4 linked regions of the Drosophila melanogaster genome follow. The protein of the gene in region 2 purifies or fractionates together with the protein of the main gene of each other region. This does not show direct contact. Each region holds a gene or a part of one and is shown on either strand. Other genes may lie near its edges. The genes, in order: yps, me31B, Edc3 and Patr-1.

Region 1 (7,264 bases), on a different chromosome or scaffold from region 2:
AAGCTGAAACTACATAATTTAGATTATCCTGCAGCTGAAATCAAAACGTGAATTGGAATCCTCCCACTCCAGACCCCTGCTGAAGCTCTTCTCCGAGGAGAACTTGTCGACTGAACCAGAGGAGCCGGAAGACGAGATTGAGATTGTGGAGGCGGAAGATCAGGTGCCCATCGAGCTGGACCTATGTGACATCCAACATACTACATCCGATGCTGGCGGTGAGGCAATCGAACCCAAGCCAACGGAAAGTGTCGCCCAGTTCGATGCCAATGCCATTTCCGAAGCGGAATCCTATGCCAAAGCCTGGGCTCACGCCTTCCTGCGGCTGAACGAGGACCAAAAGTTCTACGCCAAGCGCTCCATAGATGAACTACTGGTCTTGGGTCGTCTGGAGCGACTGAGCATTTCCACGGTCACATCCTTGACCACAAACCTGTAGCACCTCACCATGCCAATACCGCATATGTAAATTAGCTTAAGAATTTATTTATATTGCAGACTCAATGATTTGCTCACTTAACGTAGATCCCCAATAAATAAATAATAAAAATTAGAATAAATATATAAAATAATATATTCGATAGCGATTTAAGTAAACATTTATAAACTACACTTTAGTTTAGAATTTACACAAATAAACAATACCAAAAAGTGTTTTTCAATTTTTTTATTTTTTCCAATACGTTTTTAAAGTTTTTTTTTTTACTTTCCTTTGTTGCCATCTTGCGTTTGTTGTATATTTTTGCATCTTTTACAGTTTTTTTTTGTATGTTTGTTTGCTGTGATTTACATGATTTCGTTCTTCTGTTTGTTTGCTCTGCTTTGCTTTCATTTCTTTTCGCCCGATGGCTATGGTTCTCGATTTCGGATGATGCATAAATGGGACAAAGTGGTGGTGTGGTTATTGGTATAGGTTTACGTTTTTAATGATCTTTAAATCGAGTAACTTAGAGTTATGGGTTTGCTTAACGCACAACGGGTAACAATGCTTTCAAGAATAAATAAATAAAAAATGGTAATAATCATTAAAGTAAATTGTATACCGGCGCCATCTAAATTGCAGTGTAATTGAAATTTATTTATGTTTTCGTGTTTGGTTTGTTGGTTCATACAATAAAAATTCCACAATTATGCAATTTTTTGACGACGGCCAGGCTTGATGGAAATTTTATACAATTTTTTGTTTGTTTTTGAATTTGATTGAAATTTTGAGGATGTTAGTTTTGTTGTGGTATGAGTTGTACAATTGATTCTCTGCCCTACGAAACTAAACAAAAAGCAAACAAACCGAAAAAACGCGGCGGCTCATTTAGCAAAATTTGCTGCAACATTTGCTGATCTTATTGCACCATGATGTTGCATTGGTCGCTGATGTTGAGGATGGGCTGCTGCTGCTGTTTTTCTGCGATTGTAGTTATATACTGCGGCTACTGCTGACGATGTTTTTGTTTGTCGGTTGACGATTTAGATCCTTTCGGATCCTTTTCTATGCAGTGCTCTCTGTGGTTGTATTTTGCAGCTCTTGAGCGCCGTTCTAGGAATTTGAACATGGGAAAACATGGCGAGGGGGGTAGAAATCATTAACGTAAGTACAACTTCAAAAATAAATCGAAGGGATGAAAGCAAAATGCTGGTTTCGGTTGTAAATTAAGTGTGTGTGTGTTGCTTGTTAGCCAATTAGTCACAGGTTAGGTAACTAAAAACTAAATGTATTAGAATGTTATGTTAGACCCAAAGCCTCCAAGTTAAGTGTAAAGTGTTAAATGTTAGGGTGGTTTCTCCGCTTTATCGCTGTTTCTCTGCTTTTGGTGTCGGTGCGTGTGGCTGCTCTGGTTGTTAGTGGTTATTTACGAATGCATCTACACAATGCACTTTAGTTAGTTGTTTAGTTTTTAAGACGCCTTCACCATGTTATTATTGTAGACCTTGTTGTTATGCTTGCGACTGACTGTTGCTGATGTTTACTAATTTAGATGTTGTTATCGTAGGTTTGTTTCGGCGAAGATGTTTCAGTTGTTTCTGCTGTTGTGATGATGCTGGTGATTAGTTCATTACCTTCTCTGGCTGCTGCTCCGAACCACCGCCAGGGCCATTTGGTTTCCTCTGGCGACGTGGACGTGGCTGTTGTGGGCGTGGCGGTCCCTGGCCTTGAACTGCAACAGAATAATATTAATAATAATATATACCAATTATCTAATAGCACAAAGTTCACTCACTGTATTCTCCGCCGTCGCGGCGTGGTGGCGGTGGACCATTGTTGAAGTTGCGTCGGAAGAAGCGCCTCTGGGGTCCGCCCGGTGGGCCTCCACCGCGACGTGGTCCCTGACCCTCGCCGCGCTGCAGACCCTCGGGATTCTGATCGTGGACACCGGGCTCGGCGCTGCCGTCACCGCCGCCCAGGCCGCGTCTCGGCTGACGCAGATAATAGTTGTTGTAGCGCCGGGGGCCACCGGGAGCTCCACCAGGCGGTCCTCGGGGGCCACCTCGAGGTCCTCCGGGCGGTCCACCGGGTGGTCCTCGGCGGAAGTTCTGTCGTGGTTGACGCGGGCCGGACTGCACCTGCTGCTGCGGCTGCCCGTCAACGATTGGTGCCGCCTGCTGCTGTTGCTGCTGGGCCGACGATTCGGCGTCTTCGCCTTCCACTTCGCCATCCTTGCGGCGATTCTTCTTCATCCAGGGACGGAAGTTACGGCGCTTGTCCGCTGCAAACTGACTGCCCCGCACCGGCTCACCGGAGGGACCGGTCACGTTGGCCGCCTCGTTGCCCTTCTCACCAATGACCACGTCGAACTCAACGACCTCACCGTCGCCCACCGAGCGGACCGCCTTTTTGGGGTTGTTCCGCGCAATGGCGCTCTGGTGCACAAAGACATCCTCTCTGGTGTCGTTGCGGTTGATGAAGCCGTAGCCGCTCTTCACGTTGAACCACTTGACGGTGCCGGTGACTTTGGTGGCTGCAATGGGAAAGAGTAGAAATTATAAACAATTGGGGATAATAGTGGGATTCAATATTTTTGGCGGTACTTATTCTACAAACGTGTGATCATTTAATTGATTTCAATGGTATAATACTTGTTTGGGATCAGTTGCAATCATTCCTTTATCAAATATTATAATCCTTTAAACATTATACATGCAACAAAAATATTAGGGAACAGTAGGGATGCACAGCGAGCTGACTTCTAAAATACAAATAATTCTACATAAGAAACTTAAATTATACAAAAGGGGTAGTTTTGAGATAATACTTTGCATTTTTTTTTTATTATAAAGGAGGGGCAAAACGCAATACATCTGAAACTAAACTAATACGCAGTTTGAAAACTCATTGAAGCGTGCAATAACATTGAAAGACGTTTTATAACCACAAATTATTGGTTAACAATTATTTAAAACTATGGTTACCAAAATTTCGAATAAACCATATAAGTATGCATATAATATGTTGATTTACGCGAAAATATAGTGGCATCCCAAATTATTTGGCAATATATTGTAATAGTCGCCGAATATTATTGTATCTTATTGGTTGCATTATGGTCTCGTGTTTTGAAATCGCCTTATAGCCATGCTTCCATGCGTTTTAGTGTGTGTGTGCAAATAGATGTACCAAAACAATGAACACACACATCCACACCCGGCTGTCTGCCCTCTCGTTCGCACTCCCGCTGCGCGCGCATTAACAAATTGGGTTGCCCTGGCTCGCTCTGCATGTGTGTATGTGTGTGTGTGTGTACACCTATGGGGGGGCATTTTTTAAAGAGGCGAAGCGGGTGGGGTTGGTGGTTGGGTGGGTGGAAAGACAGACGACCGGCAAAAGGCAGAATTTTCAATTTGGTTAGCCGGCGGCGCGAGCGTTCGTGCACATACATATATACATGCGTTGCGTTGCCTTTGGCCGCACAAAATGGCCGACGCGCGTATATTTTAAGACTCAAAACACACACACACACACGCATACAGGGAGGCATGTTTCTTGTTCTTTTTTCCTCCTTTTTTTCATTGCTATTTTGGTAGCAGCCGCCATGTGTTCGCGGCACATGAATGAAATTGGTTGGGAATTGGGTTTAACATGCGAGTTTCAGCCTTACCGATGACTTCCTTGGTGGGCGGAGCGGGCTGGCCCTGCTGTCCCTGCAGCTCGTCCAGCGGCTCCTGCTCGTGATCCTGCTCCTGCGGATTCGGCGGATTCTGCTGCTGCTCCGGCTGCTGCTGCGCCTGCTGCTGTTCGGCGGCCAGTGGCTTACTCTCCGCGGCATCAGCCATCGTTTGTCGTGGTTTTGTTATTTGTTGTTCGGCGACGACGAAAACGAAAAGCGGGAAATGCTGCTGCTGCTGTTGATGATGGTGGTGCTGCTGCTGCTGGTGTTGTTCGTGTCTGCCCGGCTGGTATTCGGGGTCTTGGGCACTCTCTCAACTGCCACTAACCACTTTGGATGTTGTTTTTGAGTGTGATCTTAAAACACTCGCCACTCGCAGGGTTTTCTTTGCCTTAGCGATTCTATTTTGTTCGCAAGCTCCGGAAGTGAAACATGACAGCCGGAGGCAGGGTTGCTGGTGATCGGACTATCGATGGGTGCTATCGATGCTCTGATACTGGGGGTCTCCAGTGTGCTGTTACGCGCGGAATGTTAAGCCATAACAACATAAAAAGCCGTTACATTTAAATTTACAAGAAAGGTTAATTGGAATAAATGGTTAAATTCATTAAATGGTTAGAATAATATAAAACTACAGTTTTATCATTAAAATGTATAAAACAACATGTCCAACTAAACAGCGGTGAAATTTATTGAAAACTTAGTATAGTATTTACAATAACAAACATATATGTACCTTTTATTTAGTAATTTTTAATATTTTTAGTTAGCTTGTTCTAGCTTCAACCGCATTCCGAAGTGTCTGTCTCCGCCAAAACCAATGAGCGTGCTCCACTGCAAATCCCAAGCAGCTTATGCCAATCCCCACGGACCAGAGATAGAAGGCGCCCTGCAGGATGTCCAGAGTGAGAACCACCTTTTTGTTACGAATCGCCAACTCGTTGGAGCCGGAATCCGTGTCCGTCTGGTCGCCCAGATCCTCGAGAAACTCCTCAGCATCCGGCGACGCACCAACCCGGGTGATCAGATCCATTTGACGCCAGTGCTCAAAGAAGCCGTGCTCGAGGAAGCCACTGTACAGAGATTCCAAGCGGTGCAGAAAGGGCGATCCTCTTGGTAGGATGTAGGTGCATATCATAGAGCGCAGATATTCCCGGGCGATGTGGTAGGCTGGTCGCTCTGCCTGCGAGTCATAGGTGATGGCCAGAAAGTCACGGGCGTGAAAATCCCGCATGATAAAGGCCGCTCGTCGATCCCTGCGCCGGACCACCGGCTGGTAATAGGATGTGGCTATTCCCAGTGGCAGCTGGCGACTACGGTTCTCCAGCAGACCGTATTGGTGCTCCGTCAGGGCGCTCCTAACTGCGTCATACATCGTGGTCACCGCATAAATGTGCACATCCAAATGTACCAAATCGTCCACTCGGTCCACCTGCTCCTCGTAGCTTGGTCGCACAAATCCGGACTCCAGTTTGGCAAAGTAGATGGTGGACAGGACGTAGCTGAAGAGGATCCAACCCATGAGGAACGTTCTCATCGAGCTGAAGGAGGATAGCCTGCCCGCCGGTTCACCCACATGTGTCTTGCCGAACATCTCGAGAATCTCATACCACGTTGCCTGAAACTGGATGACTCCGCGACGGGGAATTCTTCGCTGCAGACGTTGCATCACCCAGAAGACCAGCACCACAACCAAAAGGGTGACCAAGAGCAAGTACCACACAGTTCGCCGAAAGACACGCACGAAGATCAGGTACTCCGGCTGGATTGCGGAGGCGGGCACGACCAGGTGCAGGTTGCGACGGGTATAGGGATACAGCACCTCAACCGCTGGCCAAATGCAGTCGAGCACGAAGCGGGAATTGGGTGCAAAGTGGGTGTGACCACCGACTATGTCGCTGACCACGCCGGTGTAGTTTCCATTCGGAAGGCAACGACCGTAGGATTCGTTATCCTCCGGGAAGACATATGTTACTGAGGCATTCAACATCTCGCCAACAACTCGGGCCGCCACTCCATCCACTGCCTGATAGCCAGCTGTCTCCACAGGACTCCTGGGCATCGCCATCAACGGATCCGTAAACATGGAGAAACGCAATGGGTAGCCGCGCAAGTCCTTCACCTTTCTTGCGTACGGCACTTCGCCATCCAGCCGCTGAATCACTTGGAGACCACCCCAAGCAAAGGGATCAAAGTCAAAGGTGCCATTTTCCCTGCCGGTAATGGCCAATCCGTAGAGCAGCTTCTTGGCCCAACTGCCGCGAAAAAGTCGCAGTAACTGATGCCTTCCGGCATTTGGCCAAACAAACAGATACTTGTGCATATGCTTGCGCCTCTGGTGAGGATTCAACATGTCCAGGATGCGGCGTACCAAGGAATCACCCTTTTCGGCAGCCGGAATTTGAAAGATGCTTAGGCTGTCCGTTCGTCTAAATGGTTCCAGCTCATGTGCTTCCATGTTCCGTGTGATTACGGGCAGTCTACTGCCCACACACCGATAGAGATCCAATTCCAAGGCAGAGTAATCCGCATCGAAGGATGCCGGGCAGCTGGCACAGCGGTACAGATAGGTCACCTGGACATTCTGCTCTACGGCTATGCGACAGGCAATCTCGGCAAGGGCATAAATGCCAGGAAGATACCATTGGAGCAGCAATCCAACCAAAAACTTCATGTTCTACGAGCAGACTAACCAGTGAAATATCCTTTGGGTGAACACAACACCTGTAGAGGATTTCCCATGGGAGCCGTAATTCCCAATTAGGAAAAGCGATGCGTGAGCAGTTCATTAGTTGGCTAATATTTTTGGGGTAACTTGAAAAAAGTTATCAAAACTTGATTTCTACAAAATAATTATAAAAGGAATAAAAGGACATTACAGAAAATGAATGAAAGTAAACGGAAGGTTTGCAATAAAATGGGTTTTTTTTTATTTGAGTTTCTAAAAAGCAATAAGATTATGCATTTATAAAAGAAATCATTTTCTTTTGATTAGCAACTAAACATTTGAACAACATTTTGCATTAATGTATACTTCTAATGATAAGGTGTTGTTTATTCTAAATCGGATGAATCATATTTTGAAGACTTTGCGAATGACGCAGCAATGTGATCACCTTGAATAGACGAGACTCATATGTTCTCGAAGTCTGAATAATATAAAA
Region 2 (6,794 bases):
GATCCAAGCGAAACTTTGGGCACTGCAAGCCGTGAACAATACCGAAATCTGAAAAGTATTGAATACAATACACTATACAATCTGACCTATGTCAATGAAAAGGCAAATGTGTCATTCACTTGTTGATTAACCAGATAAGAAAATTTGACAAAAATAATTAAAATGACAAAGCTAATGAAAAATGTCAATACTAATGAATGACGTAGATAACTTCAATAGCGAAATTTGCTTGGCACTTGAAACCAATTGTTTATACCACTTATTTGATCAGACAAATGGAAAACATCAAAATCGATTGCTTCCAATTCTTAATAATATTTTTGATCATTAAGTTTACGACTTTAATGGGCGATTACTGCGTTCAATTGCCGCTCGTTTCCTGCTATAAAGACCTATAAAAATAACTGCAAAACTGGTGACGACATACCTGAGGGCTTTGAGAAGTTTGCGTTGATATTTAGGTTCTGAAAACCCTCAAATTTGAAATCGGTTCCATCGATCTTGCAATAGGTACTGAAATTTCCTTTTGCATACATTTCACCTTCGGCACAACAACGACGAATACAGGGTATTTTTTGGCAAATTTTCATTTCCTGACAAGCACGCACCAGAAACTTCTGTTCCGGTAATGCACCTCTATCCAAATCCGCATCGTCGGAGTCGTGAATAGCTTCGATGCAAAACTTGGAGCTGGGCAAACTGTTGGTTCCATCTTTCCAAATCAACGAATTATTATGAAAGTGCACTTTTCCGGAGGACAACGTATATTCCACGAGTGCTCTGTGGTCGGAACAGTTTAGGGTGTTATCAAAAAATATAATTGGACTGCTGATGATGGAAGTATAAACAAAGAAATCGCTTTCGCCCGGTTTGCATGTATTATTTTCGGAAACGTAAATAAATCCCTGTGGGCAGCACTTGTTTACAAATCCAACACTTTGAGACGGCACATTCTTTTCGAATTCACAAGATAAAACGATGAGACGTCTGTTTAATAGTCCAATGCATGAGTTATTTCGCAAATTCAAGGTGCGTTCACCTAAATCACTTATACTCAGACTGCTAAAGTTCTGGCACTTTGATAGTGCGAATTGGCTGTGGCCTGAGTCATTGATAGCCTTTTCTAATCCAAGGCCCATTGGTGGTATCAATTTGCCTATCACTTGGGCAAGATCCGGAAGTTCACTGATGTTGCTTGCGGCGGAAGCGCACTGGTATATTTCCGCATTGTCCACAGTGCGGCGATATTTGAATAGTAACGAATTCGCGGCACAGCATAACTGAACGGCGAGCACTTTTGAAATGCCACTTAAAATCAGGCACACTAAACTTAGTCCGATGTTCATTGTTTACGGCTCGTCTATTATACCCAATGACCGATTTGCGAGCTTGTGTAATGTTTGTATCTTTTCTTAGAACGGACTTTTCATATCTTATCATTGAGGAATCGTTATCGGACCATATACACTTCGAACCGCATGCAGTTGCCGGATTTAACGAACTGAACTGAAGTCTTCGCGATTCCTTCGCGAGCAAATGCGAATGTTTATGGGTAAACATTTGGCCCGCACACAGACGGACATAGCTCGACGTATATAGGCAATACATTTATGGATTCTCGTAAGCCTATACAAATAAGTTATGCCCCATGGAGTGCCTAACACTTAGCATGCTGGGGGTGCTCACGGATGGTATCAATACACCCAAATGGCCGCATATTTATGTAGGTACTTTGTGGTTCTAACACATATCTATCTATCTACACAATTCAATTGATGACTTTGTACACTAGCTTCTGACGGCAAGACAAATGCGACTGCTCGTGTTAACATTGTGCAAAGCTCATTAAGGGGAAATTGATAAGGTACACAGATACACACATCCATACACACTTATGTACAGAGGTGGGTGAGGTAAGCAATGGATCCTTTAATCGTCTAAGTACTCTACGCACCATAAATCACCTGGAAAATGTCAACGATACGCAAGTATTTATCTTTTCAATTAACTTAAGTCTAGTTATTAGCTGACTTTTTTCCATATATTCTTTCATGACACAAACTAAAATCGCAAACATAAATGTCATTTTTATAATATACAAATCTCCTCTATCGCAAGTACTATTTATTTATTCTAATACAAATATATTAATTTTGTCATTCTCCAATCGGAATAAGTATAAATAAAGTATAAATCCATTGGTTAAGAAAAGAAAAATCAAAAAAATAATTTTTATTCATTTTAATGTTATTAGTTAGTTTCTAATGTGATCTTTCATTAAATATTTAATACTTATAAATTATAAATGAAAAGATATTCATAAAAATCGCAGACAATCAAATTAAAGCTTAACTCAGATGTTCTTCTTTCATACACGTTCGAAATCTTCCTGTCGTTCCTAAGTCCCGTTCACACAGGCAGCTGCTTCATCTGAAATGCAGTTCATATATTGTTTTTGTTATAATTAAACGGTGATTTTAACCCGGCCGGAGTGGAGTTGCTCATTGGAAATGCTTTTCTAAATTAATTTAAATTTAAAATAACGGCAACAGCAGCTAACACAACAAAAATGTGAAATATTTGGGTATACATATACACCTACAGGATTTATAAGAGGAAAATTTAAATGCCGATTTTTTTTAAATAAAATAATTCTTGCCTAAATATGTGGACTAATTTTAAAACGTTCATTTGTTTTTGTTAAGCCATGTATAAATTTCTACAATATTATTGTTCGTCATTTTGAACTTGCAAAATTTGTTTCATTCCAACGTTCCAAATCAGGGCAATACATATTTATTATCTACACCGAGTGAAAATATTTTCCGAGTCATCAGAAATTTGTATTATTGATAGCATGTTGTAAGGCGACTCGACTATTTTGAAGCTAAGTGAAATTTTATATTGAAACGCAAAGTTGAATACGTGAGCAGTATATGAAAATCGGTGAATACAGTGACTTCATTAGTCAGCCGAAAGCAAAAGAGAGCGAAATACATTTTTTAAACAAACTAAACTAAAATTTCACTGTGAATAATGATGACTGAAAAGTTAAATTCTGGGCACACTAATTTAACAAGCAAGGGGTTTGTATATTTTATATTTATTTATATTTTTTTTTTCACAAGAGGACCCAAGCTTGGTGTCCCAACAAACATAATATGCATGCGTATTCATCAGCCCATATTTATGATTAGATGCCGAAAAGACAAGCCGTTTTATAGTTTAGAACGTCAATTTTTGCAAATGATTGAGCATGTAAAAGCCGAAGATCTGTATTTTAGCAACATCATGTAGTTAGGCTGTTTTCACTCAACAACTAAACCTGCAGAACATGTTATCTAATGAAAAAAACCAAACAATGTGATTCCCGTATTTATATTACTTTATTGTATGTAGTAGCGGAACATGTGTACATATGTATAAAAGAGTTATCTACATATGTAGTTGCACTCGTGGACTTATTTACCGCTAAAAATGTTGCTAAATATAATTGCACTGACTTAAATCATTTAGAAACTAACACTGTATTTAGGTAAAACTTCTATTGGGTGATTCTCAACTTTTGAGATCAGAACAAAACAGGTATTTTTTTTTTGCATTTCAGCGCCATGAACAGTTATTCGTGGGCTGCCATTTTAAAATTTGGAGTAGCGTTTCTTTTTCTCTCCTCCATAAATGTGCGAAAGAGAAAAAATGTTGAGTTCAATCGCTTTTAGATTGTTCAGTTCTTAAATATTCAAGACATTATCCATCTTTGTTTACGATTTAAAATCAATATTAACATTATTATTAATATACATTAATACATGGCTTAGACTTTAGCTTAAAATGCACTTTACATAAAAGAACTCATTTACAAAATTTTAAAAATCAAAAATTTTTAATATATATATATGCTTATATATGCCATCCATATATATATGGATGTGAATGACCTACATATATCGTAATACTTTAATTACCATTTTATTTTTTTTCTTTTCATCCAGGATTATAAATGATCTTCAAATTGCTGGAAACACAAGTGACGATATGGGCTGGAAATCAAAGCTGAAGCTGCCGCCAAAGGACAACCGATTCAAAACAACTGTGAGTTTGCCGACAAATCAATCGGAATTTATACAATTTAAAGCACAAACAAACTAACAAATAAATGTATTGCCATTGCCTTACTCAGGATGTGACCGATACGCGAGGCAATGAATTCGAGGAGTTTTGCCTTAAAAGAGAACTGCTTATGGGTATATTCGAGAAGGGATGGGAGCGCCCTTCGCCAATTCAGGAAGCAGCTATTCCTATAGCATTAAGTGGAAAAGATGTGCTGGCTCGGGCCAAGAACGGCACAGGCAAGACAGGAGCCTACTGCATCCCAGTTTTAGAACAAATCGACCCAACCAAGGACTACATTCAGGCACTTGTGATGGTCCCCACCCGAGAGTTGGCGCTACAAACCTCACAGATATGTATTGAGCTGGCGAAACATCTTGATATCCGGGTAATGGTCACAACGGGAGGTACCATTCTAAAGGATGACATTCTTCGTATTTATCAAAAAGGTGGGTTTTGATGATAGTTAAATAACCTAATATCGGTTTAATTGCAACTTTCTAAATTTTCCCTACGCCTGCAGTACAATTAATTATTGCCACTCCCGGACGAATATTAGATCTGATGGATAAGAAAGTTGCCGATATGTCGCATTGCAGAATATTAGTTTTGGATGAGGCCGATAAGCTATTGTCGCTTGATTTTCAAGGCATGCTGGATCATGTTATACTAAAGTTACCAAAGGATCCACAGATCTTGCTATTTTCCGCAACATTTCCACTAACAGTCAAGAATTTCATGGAGAAGCATTTACGCGAGCCTTACGAGATCAACCTGATGGAGGAGCTAACACTGAAGGGTGTCACTCAGTACTATGCATTCGTACAGGAGCGCCAGAAAGTACACTGCTTGAATACGCTCTTTTCGAAGCTGCAGATCAATCAGTCTATCATATTCTGCAATTCCACGCAACGTGTCGAGCTATTGGCCAAAAAGATCACAGAGCTTGGATATTGCTGTTACTATATACACGCTAAGATGGCCCAGGCACACAGAAATCGAGTATTCCACGATTTCCGCCAAGGACTCTGTCGCAATCTGGTGTGCTCCGACCTGTTCACCCGTGGTATCGACGTGCAGGCCGTGAATGTAGTAATCAATTTCGATTTCCCACGAATGGCAGAGACATACTTGCATCGAATTGGTCGCTCAGGACGTTTCGGTCATTTGGGTGAGTTTAATTGCATTCTCATATTATAGTTTAGCCTATTTACAATCTTCGTTTCTCATTTTAAGGTATTGCTATTAATCTGATAACCTACGAGGATCGGTTTGATCTGCATCGGATTGAAAAAGAACTTGGAACCGAAATAAAGCCTATTCCGAAGGTCATAGACCCCGCCCTTTATGTCGCAAACGTTGGCGCATCCGTTGGCGATACTTGCAACAACAGTGATCTGAATAATTCTGCGAACGAGGAGGGCAACGTTAGCAAATAAAACGGATATGCCCTGTGTAACGCTAGTATCTGAAATAGAGTCTAAATCGTGGAATCAATAAAAACAGATGAACTATTTCAGAAATCAAAATTGTATTAAATAAATGGAAAGCAATTCAATTTTTAAATGCGCTCTTAAGATAACTGAAATGACTGGTCTATAAAAAAAAGGCTCGTTCACTTTGTGGGTTTTGGTGCTGAGAAGTATTAACATTAACTATTGGGGATTTGGTAAGGAAAGTTAGTCGAATGCTATTAAAAGGCAGGCTAAGGTCGTTTAATATCAATCCAGTTTTTAGTAAAGGGTTTAAATCAAATAAAAGGTCTAAAAGTAATTACAGGATTTTCGGACAAGAGAAGTACACTTGGATCAAGCTAAATCCTAGATTTACTTACATGGAAGAATTACCATTGGCAATTACCCGATTTACTAGATTCCAAAAAAAAAGTACAAAGGGATCATTATAATTTAAATAAAATTTATTTATTAGCATCCAAAATTGTAAGCTTTGCTTGTCAGAATATTTACAATAAATGTACAATATTAAACAAATCATATATATAGGATAGGGTCATAAATTTCAAAACTTTACGTATTAAATATGTTCGATGAGGAGGAAGAGGAGTCGGATTGGTCAAAGTCGATTTTCGCATAGGTATTCCCATCCTCCGGGCATGCGGACACCGGCGGCGATTCGCGTGATCCTCTCTTCAGGTATTTAGCTGGATTTTGGCCACTGCAATGGGGAAGATCTAGGCTGGCGTAGTGCAGCTCCGGCTGGGATATGCGAGACGACGACCTTGAGGGGAAATTCAAATCTTTAATCTGTAGAATGTTCTGTGGTGTACTTGGATCTGTGCCAGTGCTACGCGAATCGGCGGCGGCGGCTGGCTTTGCTGAATTTATATTGAATTTGGTGAGTGAGCTGCTGCTCACCGCGGTGGCGGTGGCATTATCGGGAATCGTATTCACACTCTCTGTAAGTCTCTGCGAACGCTCCAAGTTATCCTTGTGTATACCCTTTTGGTATAGCTTCGATGAGATGAGTGAGCTGTCGCTTTTAATTTGCAGAATTTTGTAGCCGGCTTCGTTAAATTTTGTGAAATCATTCGATTTGTCCTTGATTTGTGTGTAGTCTTCGCTGCTTATCGAATGAACCAACTTCTTTTCCTCATGCCCGCCTATATCCAAATTGTTGTTCTCGACAATCTTGTCGGCCAGATGATTATTTAGCTTATCGCTGCT
Region 3 (8,488 bases), on a different chromosome or scaffold from region 2:
CTAGCTCTGCATGTAGCTTTAGAGCTTTCGACCAAACCGGTGGCGTTTGCTGACCGTATATTAGCCACCTTACGTGGGCTATACGTTTATTCAGCTTAGTTTTCAAACCGCCACGGTGTTTGCCCATACTCAATAGAACTCTACTCACTCAGATTTTTCCTTGGTTTTTGCAGTTCCATTTAATTAGTCCAGTCTTCTTCCAGTCCAGTGTTCCTTTGTTCCTTTGTTTTCACCAGCTTTGGTCAATTCGTCCAGCGTTGGACGACTGTCACGGTCGCCATGTAATGATGAACTCCAATTAAGAACACAAGTCCGTTTTAAGTTGAAGGCAGCCGTCGGGCTGACATATATTTATTCAATTTCTTCTTTTGATTTTAGAGTAGGCAGAAATGGTTCTGTCAGCTCAACGTCTACAGAGTCTCTCTGATTTTACAGTTTTTTATATATTTTGACTTAGGCTAATCCGCGTAGCTGCGCTGCCGGGTACGCCAGCAGCGGAGCGGCGTTCTTATGTATATCTTATATATCTAGGCTTATCGGGAGAGCGAGATATGTATGTACGTATGTAATATGTATTTGGTCGGCGTGTGAATGCTGACCATGCACTTATACTTTTTGCCTTCGAGTGGGTGATCATGTTACATCTGCCCTGGCCTAACTGCGTGCATAAACATAAACATAAACATAGCAACAAAGTGCTGCCATAAGTTAATATGCTATTTTATTTAATTGTTCTTAATATTGCATAGGCACATACTACACCACAGAATCGATGCCGCCGCGGGGGCTCAGATCAGTACAGTACATGCCTATATGATGATGTGAGTATTCGGGCCACTAATCTCTGATTACAATCAAGCAAATACCAAATTTAATCATCGATGACGGCTGTTCTTGGTTTAATTTTTTCGACCAGCCAAGGATTTTTAGAGTGGGAATTATGAGAGCAGTGTAAAGAGTTGTTTGTGTTTGGCCCTGACAGTGGGTAAGAATCGATCGATAATGCCAACTGATTTTAACTACCATATATCTATTAACAATACCTATTGTTTTATCTATCTACGCCTAAGTCAACACACTGTTCTACACACTTTTAAGTTATACACCACACACGACACACTCTGATAAGATATAAATTAAAACTAATCTTTATTGATCTAAGCGGAATGTAATAAAATTGCACTTGAATTATAGCTGAGTCAACGAGTTTCTTAAATTTCATTCGCAAGGGTTCATCAAAGTCATATTTTTGACTGGAAATCTTATAATCGTGCTATGCGAAGTATTCCTTTAAAGATACCTGGAATATCTGTTAACTCGATCAATAACAAGATAAAGGTAAGCCTAATGGGAACATATCAGTTTCAAATAGATAGTCTATGGTATAGTGAAACAATTCGGCAACATGGCCGGATGTACTTGCTTACAGATGCGTATGCCACAGCCCATCAAGAATTTATCTTTATCCTTTTCGCTTTCTATACCGTATAGAAACTATTAATAATTTATATTAACGCCATTAATATAGGACCCAAAATAAAACACAATTGTAAAGCTTGTTTTCTTCCATGAGAAGGCTTCTCGGTGTTGTTTTGTATTTTTTAATTTTGCTGTTACGTTGGAAAGGACTTTCTCTTGTATCCGTTTTTTTCTGCCCGATTTCTGGTTCCAAAAAAGAATTTACGTACAATTTTTGTCTTTTAAGTATAAATTTAAAATTAGGTTTTCATTCTTTGTTTAACAATTTCAATTGGCCCAAAAATAGATGTTTTTTTTTAATTTTAAAGCGTTACCAAAATCTGGTTGTTTGTTGTTTCTCCTTGTCTTGGTGTTAATTTGTTTGGCTGTGAAATCTGTGGTTACTGTGGTATTGGAAAAACCTTCTCATCCTCCCTCGCCACCAACATCCCTTTAAGGTCTGGTCATCGTTTCTACTCCTAACGCAAAACAGTCACTGCGGGATCCGCCTGGCGGCTGATTGATCCGCATTCAACTCTCTTTTTACAATATAATTTGATGGGTTTGGAAATTGAATTTGCAGATGATCATCAACATGATTGGAGTTTACAACTATAGTTATTATTTATACAACAAGTAGTTTCAATTTGGGTTTTTTGTTTTGAGTTTTTGGTTGCCTTGCTGAGTCGCAACCTTCTAAAATTTTGCACTATTAGATTGGATTTAATCTTATATAAAATTAATCGCTCTACAGTTTATATTATAAGTATTGTGTTGTGGTTTCTTTTTAGTATTCGATGGGTAAAAAATTATGCTCTCGACTTTGTTTAGTTTCCCTTAAAGACACATCTTAATTATTTCTATACATAATATAAAGTGTTTCTCATTTTATAAGTTTTGTTTTGTTTTGTTTGTTATGGTCTGTTAAACTTTTAAACACTGTATTCTTACGAAACTTACTTAACTAATCTGATTTGATTTATACTTGGATTTGTATTCCATATTACATCGTACAATAGTTGTTGCTTTTGCTGTTGATTTAATGCTTAAAATTAGACATTGAATTTGGCATTTATTGCGCATACTTGATAGTAATTAACATGATCTTATCTTTCCCCATAGAATTGTATAGTTATTTACAAACAATTTCTCGCCTGATTTGTTGTTTACGATTATGAAGACCACTTGCAGGAAGGACAGTGAATTGTAAATTAAATTAAAACCTTAGGAAATTTTGGATTGAATGTTGGAAAAATTCCTTAGAGCGTGCGCCTAAACTAAAGCTTTATAAACTTGTAAATGCTGGACTAGCTTTCAAAACAGAGGGCTGAACAAGAAGTGTCGTTGCTTAAAATGAAAAAAAAATCTATAGGGTACAGTTGGAAACTAATCATAGTTTGGCACTTGGCCGGCAGCTTTGAATTAATTTAGAAAATATAGATTATAATAACTAGGCGTATCTAAAGGGATGATGCGTGAAGTAACCTAAAAACTATATGTGTACGCGCCGTAGAACAAAATGTTTAACTTGAGTAATATATGAGAGAAGAGTACTAAGAGCTAGATTCACAGGAAACTGGACTTGATGATCATCACAAGTGTGCGGGTGTGTCATTGTTATTGTTTTTTGTTGTATGTGCTTATTCTTGTTTTAATGGATTGCAGTTGTTGCTGATGCTGCAGTTTGATTGCTGTTGTAAATGTTGGTGTTTGTGTTGTCGTTGTTTCAGTCCTTTGAGTGAATCGGTATCACATATTTATGTCCATACGGACTTTTGTACTTAATGCCACAATCACGATAGAATTTATCCGGTATACCTAGATTACATAAATACAATTTGCCACAATTGTTCGTTGATGCTGCTGATTTGGTAGCCGATGCTGCTGCCGAAGTGCTAGCAATGGGAGTTGGTGTGGCGGCAGCCGAAGAGGATGATGATGTTGTTGCTGTTGATATGCCATTTAATGGTAGTATGGGTAGTATTGAGTACTTGATAGCAACCTCATTAATGCCACACGGCGGCGGGTCTATGGCAAGCACCGAAGCGCTAAAAAATACGTATAACAGTAATTTACTTTCGACATTAAATGGGGTTCACTAACCGATTTACACTGAGCCATTTCCTGATCGCATCCGATAAATTAGCGGTGTTAGTTGATAATATCACAAGATCTGGCGTGGGTAAGGCTGAAAAATGTAAATAGCTCAGTAATCGATTATTTATATTTTTTATTATATTAGTAACCTACCGTCTACTGAGTGAACTATGACATTGTCGGTTGCCTTGAACAATGAAATCTCTGGGCTGCTGCTGTTCTGCTCCAGCAGTTTGGCCTGCTCCACGTACAGCAGGACAGTAAGCCCATGCGAAGCCAGCTGGCGACCTGTGGCTGCTCCAATGTTAATTGTTCTGAAAGGAATTATGTTAGTCACTGCCTTGAAGTTATGTCCATATACGTTTGATTAAATCACCTCATATTTTTGCCGCCATCGCAGATGATGGCAATCTTCGGCCACTGATGGTTGTTGGCCGGCGTCAATCGCCTGGCGCCGCCCAGCAGTGTAATGGCCAGATCACTGGCTCCGCGCGCCAAAATGTCGATCTGCCTCTGCAGAGAGAGGCCCGCCTTATCGGCACTTATCTCGATTTTATTCCGAACGTAAGCCGGAATCGTCGGTATAATGAGACCGTCGTCCGTCACAAAGTCCTGGCTGCCGCCGAACATGCTTTCGATCTGGCGCAATTGTAGTGGTTTGCTGGCCAGGATGTTCTCGTCGTGCCGATACTTCTGCTCTGGCTTATGATGATGATTGTTCACAATGTGCCGCACCACATCTGGTTTTTGGGTCGTCGACTCGATGTCGTCCCAAATTGCCTGCTTGTCGAACAGCGCTAGATTGCCCTCAAAATCGAAATCCTCGTGGATCAGCGGATCGTCCGCCTCGCTGCCAAAAGTCAGTTGCACCTGTTGCTGCCGCATGCTGCTCTCCCTTCGCACCCTGTTCCGCTTGTTCTTCCCGTTGCCGTTGCCATTTCCATTGGTATAAGAACCATTTCCGGTGCCATTTCCATTGTTATTGGCATTGCCATTCCTTCTTACATTTCCATTTGTATTCCCATAGCTCGAGGCTGCCGTCTGCTTGTAAAATCCATCTCCGTTGCTGACGATATCTATGGGTTTGCTGCTGCCCAACGACAAACCAGTTGCCTCGCCGCTATCTCCGCTGCTGCTGCAGTAACTCTCCCGGGTGTTGCTCACGTAGGAGCCCAGTTTCACCTCGACCTTCGGCGGTATCATGTTGCCAAAAAAGGCGGCCACGCTGTTGGGAGTCGTTGATATCTGCGGCTGCTGCTGAGCGCTGGACGCACGGGATGTTTGTGGTGTTCTGGATGACGAAACAAATATAAAAGTTAGATGAAACCTATTTTAAATACGACGCTCAGTTGGCACAAGACCTATCTGAAACGACTGTTGCTTTTTATCAGTAATAAAGGTAATTTACTCATTTCGTATCTCAAGGTTGGTAAGTTTAAACATAAAGATGGCTTCAAAATGAAATGAAATAAACACAATCGTGCTGACTGCAAAAATCTTCATACTTTTTTTTTTTATAAAGAGCTAACAATTAATTTAAATTATTGGCATTGCACAATCGTTTAATGGGCCATATTACCTAAGGGTGCCATTTGAGCCGTTGGTCTCGATTAGCTTCAGCTGATGCATCTTATCGCTTAGCGCCGAATTGAAGTTGCCACGTGGGCCCGAAGAACTCGATGCTCCGCCAGCCGCTACCCGTCCATTGTCGTTGGCCCTTGACCGCGGCGTCGATGGCAGATCCTGTTCTCGTTCCTGCTCCTGGAACTGCTGTTTCTGTTGCTGCTGGAGTTGTAGCTGCTGCTGCTGCTGCTGGAGTTGGAGCTGCTGCTGCTTGCCCAGGATGTTGGAGAAGTGGGGCAGCTTGACGGGCGTGGGCTTGTTGACCACTGGCGGCGGCGCCGTGTGCCCATCCAGATCTTGCTTTGCGGGCTCGATGAGATCGATGCTGCGAATGTCCGTGCACTTGAGGACCACCTCGGCGTTCTGCTTTCGCAGCGGCACGCCATTGCGGAAAGCCCTCACAATGGTGATCTCCTCGGCAGAAATCTGCTTGATCAGGCCCTGGAAGACGCCCAGGACCTCGTCGCAGGCTATAGACACTGCACAGCCGATCCAGTCTTGATCCGTCGGACCCATGTAATCAGTTTTCGATACTCCCTTTGCGAATGCGACAACACGTTGGATCGGCTTGTTCTGCCCTGGCTAATGGTTGTTCGAAATGTTTGCTGGCCCGCGCAGAGCTGCTTGTTGTTTTCGTTTCTAATACGCAATTTCGCCACTAACTAACTACGCACCACGCACCTCTCTTCCTCTTCTTCCTGCTGCTGCACCGCCGTTGATTCTAGTGTTTTGTGGCTTAAAGTCGGGTGTTTTTGAATTATTTGGCTCTGCGGTCAAGGGGTTCGGTATTTTGTCTCTTTTAATCAATAAATGCACCAACCGTTGCAACACATTGACGCTAAAACTTATTGGATTTCTCGTTTCATTGGGATTTTCACTGCTTGCGTGTGGCCGTTCGTTGGTGTTCAGATAATACCGAACAATACCCAAACTAGCTGCGTGGCAAATTAGTTTACTTAATAAATTTATAATAATATACATATTTATAATAACTACAAATTTCATGCTTTACGGAAACTTCACCTTATTTTGATAAATATTTGGTTCAATAAAAGCCTGCGAGCCATTTTATGAATTTAACAAGTGCTTCCCTTAACTGTTAAGGCTTCTGGGTGCTGTGGTATGTTCTCAGTGCGCGTACACGGTCACTCTGGCAGTTTTGTTCTCGATTTTGTCGCCGTTTTGTGCATTTTTCCCGTCCGGTGTTTAAATTTTATTTAATACTGCGCGTGCGACATATATACAGGCACCTATAGCCGACCGATATCGGCGATTAAGGCATGTGCGCCGCCGAAGCGGTCAAAGTGATAATCGCTTGAATAGTGAGCAGTGTAGAATTTGCCGTGTGATAGAAGTACGTGATGATTTTCCGCAAATAGTGGATAAAGGCGAGCCCACACGCATACCACCGCAAAATATATACATAAATCGGGCGAAAATATAGTGGCCCGTGTTTGTGCGTGTGTAAACGTAAGTGGAAAACTTGGGCGAAACTTTATGCTAACCATAAATGGTCTACAAAGACATGGCTTCGCGCCTGGCTAATTATCAAGAAAATGTTTGGCTTTTGTGCTCTATCACCCACACCTCATTCACACAACACACACACTAGAAACACGCTTGCACGGGGGCAGGGCGGCAGACAGAGATGGCATCTAGCACAAGTACCGTTGTTCACTTTGTTTGCTGTCTTTGTTGTCTGTTCGCTTTTCTTTCCTTCGCTTCTGTACACCCTTCCCCCTCTTGTTACCTTATGGCAGCCTCCTCTTCTTCTTCTTCGTGTCATTTATCGCTTAATTTGCACTTCCGCTTTGCACATATTCACCCTCTCTCCTTCCGTCATTCTTTCATTGCAGAAGCTTCTCTAAAAGAAACAAACAACAACAACACAACAATGTCGGCACGTTCCAGCGGCTTGGTGGCCGCGGCGGCCCTTCCCGTCCCGTCGTCTTCTTCCTCGGTGGCCGGCGGCGACGTGCCACGCCCGCCGCCCCGCCGGCGAGCGGCCTCTGTTGCGGGACAACAGCAAACGCGCCAGGAATTTGGAAATGGTTACACTCCTCGCAGATCGTTGGCAGCAGTGGTAAGTTTACATAAGTGCAGGTGACGACGAAAAGAGAGAGCTTTACCTTGAAGGACAACTTAGGAACTCTTCTAACATCTTAGGAATTTTGTAGGAGCACCTTATGGTTACAACCTTATTTCACAACGCATCCAACTCTGATTGAAAAATTTCATTCCATTTTTGATAAAGCCAGTTAACTAATTATGGGTTATATAAACGCGTATGTATCAAATTAAGTTATCATAACACCAAATAGTGACCGTGGCACCTATATGTTTATCAATTTTTAATAGATAGTAAGGTATTACTTACTATGACATCTTATAAGATACTCTTATCAATTGTTTTGGTTTCGTTGCAAACTGACTAATCAATAAATGTATCTCATTTTAAAGGGCATACCGAAATGTTGTCTTATCAAAACTAAGCCAACCAATTCCTATAACCTTTTATAAGGAATTGCCCACAATGTATCCACCATTTTGTTGGTGTGAAGATTTGAAAAGTATTTATCAACGGGTGGTGCTGGGGGATTTGGTCGCCCTTATCAGTGCCTCCGCTGTATTTAGTGTTTCCATTTTTACGATGTTTTCACTACTAATCTAATCTGCAGATTGCCAAACAGCTGAGTCGTGTAGATGGGCCATGTAGATTTCACTCCCCTCATGGATGATAAAGTGGGATATATGTATGGTGGGAAAAGTAGGGGATCTACAATTCCTTCAGAAGCCGAAAAGCACGAAAAACTTACGAACTGTTCTTATCCAATACCTAGCTTTTACGGTGTAAAGGTCGTTGCATTTCGTCAACCATTAAGTTAGATGTAGTTGTATTTCAGGAGTGACTTCCATAAGTCTTTTTTTAGGAGGGCCTTTAATACAGCACATTACATTTTATCGTTTAGTCATTGTTTGCTTGTACCAATTACTTTATAATGTTAAAGAAAAAGTAGCTTTTTTGCGGATTTTTTAAAATCGAATAACATTTCTTGACTTGCACTTTCCGAAGAGCAGAAAAGTGCCAAGAAAAGTATTAGGAAGCCGCCAGAAAATAAACTGGCATCATCGTTGTTTACTTAGTGTCTGGAATGGGCTTTTCTATTGTTTTGCTCACTTGTATAAACAAATAATTCGCTCGCCATCTCAGGCCGAACGGAAACTAAACTAATTTATTTATCTTAATTTGCCAAAGATGCTAGCCACTTGAGCAGTCATCGGCATCTTCGAAGCTAATTTAATTTATCAA
Region 4 (8,510 bases), on a different chromosome or scaffold from region 2:
CGATGGGAAAGTTTGCACAACCTAATGGCCAGTCAAAGGAGAAATCAAGACACCGACGCTCATTAACCGGTAATTAAGTGGTTAAATCCAATTTAACGAGGTCGCACCGTAGGTCGCTGATCTTGTTAGCTCTCAAATAAAATGATGATTTCGTGCGATATTTATTCAATGTATCTAATTCAATCTAAATTAAATAATAGACCAAGATAGGCCTCGCATATTACTCATACCTCACGTTGTCCAGATCAAAGTCTATCTTCGCCCCAACAACAGATTCATAGTACATTGGCTGTGTGTATGTCAGGATCAGTTAAATCAGCACATTACATTAATGGGTTCCCTGGTAGAAGCGTATTGAAGACGATCCCCTCCTGCCGCCAACGAACCAATTGTGGGGTTGTCAACAAAAACAACGACCAGATAGACGCGACAATAACTCGTCATCATCGACGCGCCGGCTATTTTCGCATCTAATTGTGAGAACAGCGGCGTTTGGCGCGCCAATTGGTGGCAATGGCAATAATAGCGGCGCCCAGTGGCGCACACTTGGCCCGTTCGCAAATCAAAGTTCTGCGTATCCGCATCCGCTGAGTCCTGGTCCTGCCCAGAACTGCGGCACTGTCTGCTCCGCTCCACGGCAGAGCCAGAGTCCTGTCCTCCTGCCTGTCGTCGTGCCATTGTCGCCGTCGCCGAAGAAGCAACGACGGGCGACTGGTCGCCACAATCGTCTGTCTAAGTCTAGCCTTTGGATGCACTCGGAGAAATTGGGGAGGTTATGCGAAATCGACATATTTTAGGCGTGCAAGGATATTAGTTGAGGAACTTATTATAATTTATTATATATAAATAAACGTAATTTTGCTTAATATTTTTTTGTGAATTTAAAGAATAAATGCATAACAGCTTAATGAATAATTTATTTTATTTTATTATATCAAAATTTTCCTGCAAAACCTAATAACTTAAGAGCTCATTCGAATTGCAGAGTAAAAATTAACCCTGAAGTCACATTATTTCTCCAAGTGTACCGCATGCTCTCTGCCAGTGTGGGGTGGGATCGGGAGAGTGGGCTTCGCATCCCTTCGCGCTGGGCGGACTGCTGCCGACAAGTTGTCGTCTTGGTGACCGTCGCCAGTGGTTGGCGTCGCCGACTCAGAAATTTGCAACAATTCCCGAGCGCGCCGCCGCCACTTGTTACGCACTTTGGCGCCTCCGCACAACAAAATGTCCCTTACGGACAGGCAACTGCCGACACTTCGACGCTTGATTCTGCGCCAAAAACAAAAACAGACAGACACAAAACACGTTCGCCATTAATGATGCACCCCCCCCCCCCCCCGGCACAATTGTTTATAGAAATCAAATGATTAATATATTATTATAGAAGAAAAACCGTTTAATAGCACAAGCGTAAACACCAATTGGAAGCAAATCAATAAATTTGAAGGAAAGCTAAAAAAATCCATAAATAAAATATCATTGAAATGGACAACTAATGTGTTTTTATCAGACTGCTTACTAAACTAAATATCATCTTTTTCAAAACCCCCCCAAAAAAATAAGGTGTTTTAGTTTCGGTGTGTTCTGTGAAATGGTATTTTTTATTTATTATACTCTCGGAAATTATATCAATTTAAAAAAATTTACTTTTGAATCAGCGAACATATTTATAGGAAAAGGTTTGAAGTGTTTGTATGTGATAAATACAAATTAAACTACAATTATTGTATATGTGTTTGCAATCTTAGACAGCTATCGTATTTTGACTCTTGTTTGCTAAAAAAAAGCATAGTTTTAAAGTATTTGCAAGACGTTTGCAGTCGAGTAGAATTTTTTTCAGATACAAAACATGAATTTCAATAAAAAAAATGAATTAAACAACATTGAATGATGGTGTAGATACAATTAAAAACGAAATAAAATTAAAATGCTCCACAACGGATTTTTACAACAAATATCTATCCGTTGCGTTACAGAAGTTTTGTGAAAATTGCTGTTTTCTAATTTCAAATTTGTATTTGTGTGTTAAACTAATTCTTTCCGATCATCGGAACTTCGTTTATGTTTAAAAGTCAAAATGTATCACAATTTTGATCATTTTGTTATAATAAATACGGCTGCACCTGTCACAATGCTAATTATTTAGTACACATTTATGCTGAATGTCTCGACTATATTTAATGGGTCTTGCACAAATTTGATTCAATGAAACCCAAAAGGTAGTATAGTAAAATTTCATTAAACCGATATTTACAAATACCAGAAAATAAGCAGATACTTAAGGATGCACATTTAAATGAGTATGCATGGATCGCGCATTAAATCGGTGCTTTTAAATTTTAAAACGTATTTATGATATTCCTTTTACAATCGTGATTACAAGATATAGGAGAGCCCAGTTGTTAATTCGATGACAAAAAAAAAAAAAGAATAATTTGTGGGGTGAATTATTCTTTATAAATCTCTACAGAAAATGCCGGAAAAGTACTCCTTATCGAATATAAAATGATATAAGTATGTACAATGAGCAAAACCTACCATTCGATATTATATTTATAAAACATGATTTCCTCTCTCTACCTTTCTTGTACAGTGCACACAATTTTGGATAAAAGAACGTTTCTAACAAACTATTATCAAAATTTATTGACAGTCGAGTACTTTCTCAATTTCAGTATGAGATTTTTATACCCTGTATCAATATTTTTGTGTAGTATGCGTAAATGTAAAAACGATCGTACATATGTAAGTTTTGGATACATATTCTATACAAACATATGCGTAATTGAGTAAAGCAAAGTGAACTCGGCTATATAATTTCACAATTATTTGAAACGCTTCAATCAAGTTAAATGAAAATCCGTCAAAGCAACCTAATCAATTTGATGCCTGGCTTCAGTTATTAATGCTAAGAGTGCATCCAGTTTAAGATCTTTAAACCGTTCAAAGTGGTCCATAAGTGGCTGAATTGCATCCGACTCAATGGCTGCCGAGATGGTCTGGTTTTGAATAGTGCGATTGAGGCAGGATGCAACCTGTGCCAGAAATTCTCGCCACTTTTGCCTGTTCTCCTCGCTAAGAGTTGCGTCAGTTCGCGAGACGTAGATTTCCTCGGCGCGAAGTATCAGGGCAACCAGCGAAAGGATTCCAAACTGCCAATTTAATAATTAGTACGCGTATCTATTACTTAATACTGAGGATAACTTACGCGACTGCAAAAAATTCCAGCAAGTTTCTTGTCATTCAGCGTAATAGCAGATGAAATGCTCACTAGGAGTTCGAAAGTAGCTTTGTTAACGTGTTTTTTAAACTCTGGGTAAAGAGCGTACAAGACGCCTTCAACGTCGTCCTTGTCCTTTTTCACCACTGTTTGTAGGGAACAGAAGACGCCGCTCCACACGACCCAGCGAATGCTTTGATCCGCAATAAAGGGCATTATGCGTCTAATAAGTATCTGCAAAGGAAAGATTGATTTAAATAAAATAGTGAGTTTCATGCGTATAGCACTAGAACATAAATCGAATTCTATTTGGTTGCACTTGTTAAAATTAGTATAAGAAAAAGTACACACCTTTCCCTTGCGCACATTCATCATGGCGATAACCTTGTCGAAGGCCAGACCTGCCTTTAATTTATTGACCAACGCAGCTTTCGTCTCTACCTCATAGTTGAACTTGTTCTTTAGTTGCGGATTCATGGTTTGCGGATTGGCGGCTTCAGCAGCACGTTCTTCGGGCGTTTTATTGGCCATTTCCAGCTGCTCAAGGGCTGCGATCCGTTCGGCTTCCTTTTTCTTTTTCAGCTCAATGGTGGCCATCACTTCTGGGCTTTCCAAATCCTCCAACTTCAGCAGATAGCGATACAGTGTTTCAATCAGAAGCAAAATGTGTCGCGACTTCCGCATGCTACTGGGATTTACATCATGGCTCGCGGAGGTGGGCAGCGGAGTCGAGCTTTTTGATGAAGAAGTTGCGTTGGCTTCAGCAGCGGCATTTGATTCACCACTCATAATGTCAGCATCGATAATTTTTCGCGGAGCTGTCACACTTCCGTACTGTAGCTTTCCCAGTGAGTTCTCGAACTTCAGTGGTGAGAATATATAGCCTGTCAGGTTGTTGTTGTTACCACCTGATCCATTGTTCGTGTTGCCTGACGTGCTGTTGGTGTTCTCCGAGTTGCGTCGCTCACGTCCGTGTCCATTGCGAGTACCATTCTTGTTGCCCAACTGTACGAGAATAAGCTGCGCATGGCCGCGTGGCTGAGTAAGCGGATGATTCAACTGGTTGTCCTTGTGCGCCTGACTGTTGCGCATTTGCCCGTTCTGTTGGGCCTTGCGCTCCCTGAACACCGTGTAGTAATAGTCGTCGATATACGGCGTGTCCGTATTCAGCTGCGAAAGCTGGATTCCGATTAGCCAGTGCTTGTCGCGCGTGCTCATTAGGTTGGCATATTCATCGTACTCTTCCAGCGGGTAATTTCCTGTACCATCTGGACGTCGTCCTTGTTGCTGCTGTTGCGCCTGCGATCTCTGACGATCGCTGGCCACGGATCCTGCTCTGCTCTGTTGCATTTGGCGTACAACAGCAGCCTGTTGAAGCAGCGGATGGTTTTGCTGGATCTCTTGCACTAGTCGCATGTTGAACATGTTATACATGGAATTCGGTGGCTGCTGACCTAATAGACTTGTGGCAGCTTGCAGCGGGTGCGGCGGCATTCGCGGTGGCAGCATCTGGTGCGGATGGGGAGGTTGCATAAAAGCCCCTGGATGGATTCCAGCGGCGCGCATCGCATTGAAGCTTGGATGCATCGCGAAATTGTTCAGGGCCGTGGGCAGAGCTTGTGGATTGGGTAGAGGTCGCTGGTTGCCGCCGGGCAGTGGAAAGTTGTGCGGCATGTGCTGCTGCATTAGAGGATGCTGGGGCAATTGCGGAATATTCCCGGGCAGACCTTGCGGGTAAATAAATCCGGGCGGCACTCGGTTGCCACCAATACCGTTTAGTTGTTGCTGCGACGATGGCGTGGGCAGTAGCTCGGGTCCGGGGAAACCCAAATTTGGCCTCGGTGGAGAGGTGTGCGGCGTGCCCAAGAAGCCAGGGGGTACTGCAATGAATTGTTAAATGGTGTTATTTTCATATGTCGCAGAAATCTATCAGGGACTTGAAGTTTGTTCCTTAAATGGTTAAATCTGTCTTAAAAATTGTCCCCAAAAATAGATTCGTAAGAAATAAATATTTTTAGGAATTATACTTTTTGTTGGACATGTTTTCTTTTTAAATACTGAGGCCTGTTTTTGTATGCATCAATACTTTTTAGTTTTAATATATAATTACCCTTGTGCTGCGCTTGTTGTGGCGGCTGCTGCTGCGACTGTTGTTTCTGATGATGCTGCTGCTGCAACATCTGTTGCTGCAACATGGTTGGTGTAGGCACCTGCTGCCTGTTACCCAGACTAAAATCATCAAACATTTTGCGTTCCGCCTGTTGCTGGCTCTGCTGCTGTTGTTTCGGAATGGCCTGCTGAATGATCATATTGCGCTCTATATCCTCGAGAGTTGTAATTTTTGGAAAAGGCTGTGGATTCAGTGCAAAGTTGGCATTCGCTTCCTGCGGTGGCTTCATTTGTTGTGGTTGGTGCTGCTGATGTTGCTGCTGCTGTGGCTTGAAGGCGCTGCGCATAGGCTCGCGGAACAAATGTTGGTTGTTGGGAAACGGCTGTGATCCCCAGACCCCGGAGTCCAGCTTAATGCGGTTGCTCAGCCCACCGGCTTCGCTATCAGTGGTGAAAGAGGACAGGTCCATGTCGTCCAACTTCATGGAGGAAATGTTTAGCTCCAAGTCCGAGTCCCCTATGTGACGAGACTGTCGGAAGGGGGCATTCAAAGGGGCCGGAGTGGAGCCGCTTGAAGAGGGCGCCGATGATAGCGGATTAGCGTGTCGCAGGAAGGCACCATTTCCCTGATCGGCAAAATCCGTATTTCCACTAGATTCCGCGGGTCGCTTCCGCACCCTTTCGCCATTCCCGCCCAGGCGTACCATCGTCTCATGGGCTTCCTCCCAGTCGCCATTTATAGCGGATCCAAAGGTTTCGTCATTGAGGGCATCGTATTCCGCCTCGACGATGCGTCCATCGCCACCATCTTCGTCCTGGAGAAACAATTGAAGCAAGTAAATTAGACATTCCTACTTTTTCTGCCCCCGGTGGCCTTCGATGCCCCCTTATTTGCCGAGTGAAAAGTGTGCGTTGGGCATTTGCCGACCCCTGTGCGGCCCGCTATCCCGGATATTGCAGCCGCAATGTCGGGACCGCTGCTTACCGGTAGATTCGTGTCAAAGCCGAAAAACGAGTCATCCATGGCGATAAATCTATTGCTTTACAAAAAATTATCATGACTTGTCAGTGACAAGTTGTCACCTCAGCAGTATAGCTGTCAAAATATCGATGGTACTATCGATAGTCTGACGTCGATGGTTTTCTGACTATCGCCACAATACATCAATTTCGCTCGCATATAAATATTATCATATTACAAATGTTGGAATTAACATGCAAATTTAAAATATATATTTTTTTCATACGTTTTTTTTCAATAGGTGAACGACTGAAGATTTGTCTAAATTTATAAGTTTGCATTTTGCTACAGTGATGTTAGAAAAAAATGATGATTTAACCACTGCCAAATTTCGTATGTTGCATATTTATTTATTCAGTTTGGGACTTACCACGACTGGTTAATAAGTCAACAACATTAGATTTTACTGATCAATGAAAAATCTGCCCTAATTAAGGTGCATTTGCACTCCTTCAATGTATTCGATATTTTGAACTAGTTCGAAACTTGAAATCAGCGCCCGCAAGCTCATCCCTAAATTACTAGTTCTTGAACTATTGCTTTGGACGGAACTACGAGCCTGTTTCCTTTTCCAAAACAACTTAGTCGAAATGAAGCGGAAAACGAGCGAGATCTGGTGCTTTTTCCGGGCGGTGGACGACACGTTTGCGGTGTGTAATATCTGCAAGGCGAAGCTCTCTTACAAGACGACCACCACGAATCTAAGCAAGCACATGAACAGGATGCACCCCACATCGGGACTCAACCGGAACTCCAAGTACAAATTCCAGCCGCAGACCACCATCGCCATCGACCGGAACAAAGCCAAGCCGCGCAACTCAACGCAAGAGCTGATATTGTTAGAATTCGTGAAGAAACATCCGCGTCTGCTTCAGAATCCGACGTGGGAAACACGGGGCAATCTGGAGTCGCTGTGGGAGGAACTGTCATCCGAACTTAATAGCCACGGTCCGCCGCGAAAAGATATAGCCACCTGGAGAAGGGTATTCTAACTTACTTTTTTTCTAACCGCTTGCATTATAAGTTGATTTGTTTGTAGGCCTTAAAGGACTGGAAGAGGTTTATCCTGAGAAAGGTGGAAAAGAATGAGATGCAGAACATGCCTTTTGGCACCAGTCTTACTTCGTCGGAGGAAACAATAGCCACACTGTGTAGATTAAACGAGGATGTAAGTCAGATTATTATGAAGGTCTCCGACGATGAAATGCATGAGAATTCCACCACGGAATTTGATGTGGACGAAGTAGAGGATGTGGTCCCGGAAGAAGATGGTGGCGCCCTTCAGACTTCCGCCGAGTACGTTTACGAACCGGAGGAGAACAAAACGGACATTGACCCGCTTTACCTGCAATCTAACAAACGGGCCGCATTGGCCAGCAGTCGACTGGCGGAGGAGGAGACCACACTGCTTGACAAGATTAGCAATAACCTAGAAATGGTGCACGATACCGCCAACAGCGTTCAACTTGCACTCAATGAATTTTTTGTCCTGTACAAGCAGAAGCTGTACGAGGACAAGCGACATCACTTGGCAATTGAACAGTTAATGGCTGAGAAAATAGAACTGAAAAAGAAACTATTGGAAATCGAGCAAAAAAAGCTGTCGCTCAAATAACGGGATATGCACAAAATTAAGTAATATCTTGGTAGTCTTAATAACCTAATCTTTAAATAATCTAAGTTATTCAATATTTTGATTAATTTTATCACATTTCTTTTAGCTTGGCCCAAGCCCACTTAATATACAAATTTAATTTAATTTTTTTGGTTTTATTTTATAAATATTTAGATAATATGGCGTTGTTCATCATAGACTTGCTTTAGAATCTCTTTAAATTCCAGGGGATAAGATGCGTCGTCCATAACAGCATCGTAAACATACTCTAAATTCTGTGGGAAAGATGGTTGAATAAAAAAACAAAGCAAAGTATTAGGCACATCACTTACTGATTTGGATTCATCTGAGGAGGAAGTCTTGCCCTCTTCGGGATCACTCAACCCATTTAAGTCTCCACAGGCTATAAAAGGAACTAGACGACGGTTTACTTCCGACCCTGTTTTCTGTGCCAGTAGCCGTATATCATCGCGAGCAGGGTTAATCACTTGAGGAATGTAGCCCTCGGGAAGGCAAAAATCGGAGCAAACCACAAAAGCTTCAAT

Evidence for each region.
Region 1: the proteins of me31B (region 2) and yps purify together in Drosophila melanogaster (affinity purification with western blotting; 3 studies listed by BioGRID, with this or other methods). This does not show direct contact.
Region 3: the proteins of me31B (region 2) and Edc3 purify together in Drosophila melanogaster (affinity purification with western blotting; 7 studies listed by BioGRID). This does not show direct contact.
Region 4: the proteins of me31B (region 2) and Patr-1 purify together in Drosophila melanogaster (affinity purification with western blotting; 5 studies listed by BioGRID). This does not show direct contact.

The regions. Positions count from the first base shown.
Region 1 is NT_037436.4:12,120,621-12,127,884, forward strand, and holds yps (ypsilon schachtel), read right to left. Parts: upstream 4,531-7,264; 5' UTR 4,267-4,530; coding exon 4,092-4,266; intron 2,955-4,091; coding exon 2,217-2,954; intron 2,154-2,216; coding exon 2,056-2,153; coding exon of another isoform or gene 2,044-2,055; exon of another isoform or gene 1,535-2,043; coding exon 1,487-1,534; 3' UTR 1,060-1,486; downstream 1-1,059. Other genes in the region: CG11560 (uncharacterized protein), read left to right, coding at 23-439; Ir68b (ionotropic receptor 68b), read right to left, coding at 4,867-6,774.
Region 2 is NT_033779.5:10,236,500-10,243,293, forward strand, and holds me31B (maternal expression at 31B), read left to right. Parts: upstream 1-2,841; 5' UTR 2,842-3,036; coding exon 3,037-3,086; intron 3,087-3,439; exon of another isoform or gene 3,440-3,585; intron 3,586-3,992; coding exon 3,993-4,092; intron 4,093-4,180; coding exon 4,181-4,559; intron 4,560-4,633; coding exon 4,634-5,281; intron 5,282-5,346; coding exon 5,347-5,549; 3' UTR 5,550-5,673; downstream 5,674-6,794. Other genes in the region: mthl15 (methuselah-like 15), read right to left, coding at 1-48, 428-1,346; chico, read right to left, coding at 6,138-6,794. UniProt on the Drosophila melanogaster protein: ATP-dependent RNA helicase which is a core component of a variety of ribonucleoprotein complexes (RNPs) that play critical roles in translational repression and mRNA decapping during embryogenesis, oogenesis, neurogenesis and neurotransmission.
Region 3 is NT_037436.4:17,523,775-17,532,262, forward strand, and holds Edc3 (enhancer of decapping 3), read right to left. Parts: upstream 6,088-8,488; 5' UTR 5,695-6,087; coding exon 5,135-5,694; intron 5,067-5,134; exon of another isoform or gene 4,926-5,066; intron 4,847-4,925; coding exon 3,932-4,846; intron 3,870-3,931; coding exon 3,709-3,869; intron 3,647-3,708; coding exon 3,562-3,646; intron 3,507-3,561; coding exon 3,185-3,506; 3' UTR 1,559-3,184; downstream 1-1,558. Other genes in the region: Nedd4, read left to right, coding at 7,073-7,261. UniProt on the Drosophila melanogaster protein: In the process of mRNA degradation, may play a role in mRNA decapping.
Region 4 is NT_033777.3:17,041,493-17,050,002, reverse strand, and holds Patr-1 (protein associated with topo II related - 1), read right to left. Parts: upstream 6,440-8,510; 5' UTR 6,354-6,439; coding exon 6,315-6,353; intron 6,145-6,314; coding exon 5,331-6,144; intron 5,101-5,330; coding exon 3,572-5,100; intron 3,455-3,571; coding exon 3,209-3,454; intron 3,153-3,208; coding exon 2,874-3,152; 3' UTR 1,582-2,873; downstream 1-1,581. Other genes in the region: bdwf (bedwarfed), read left to right, coding at 6,941-7,333, 7,390-7,965; Trm7-32 (tRNA methyltransferase 7-32), read right to left, coding at 8,136-8,240, 8,298-8,510.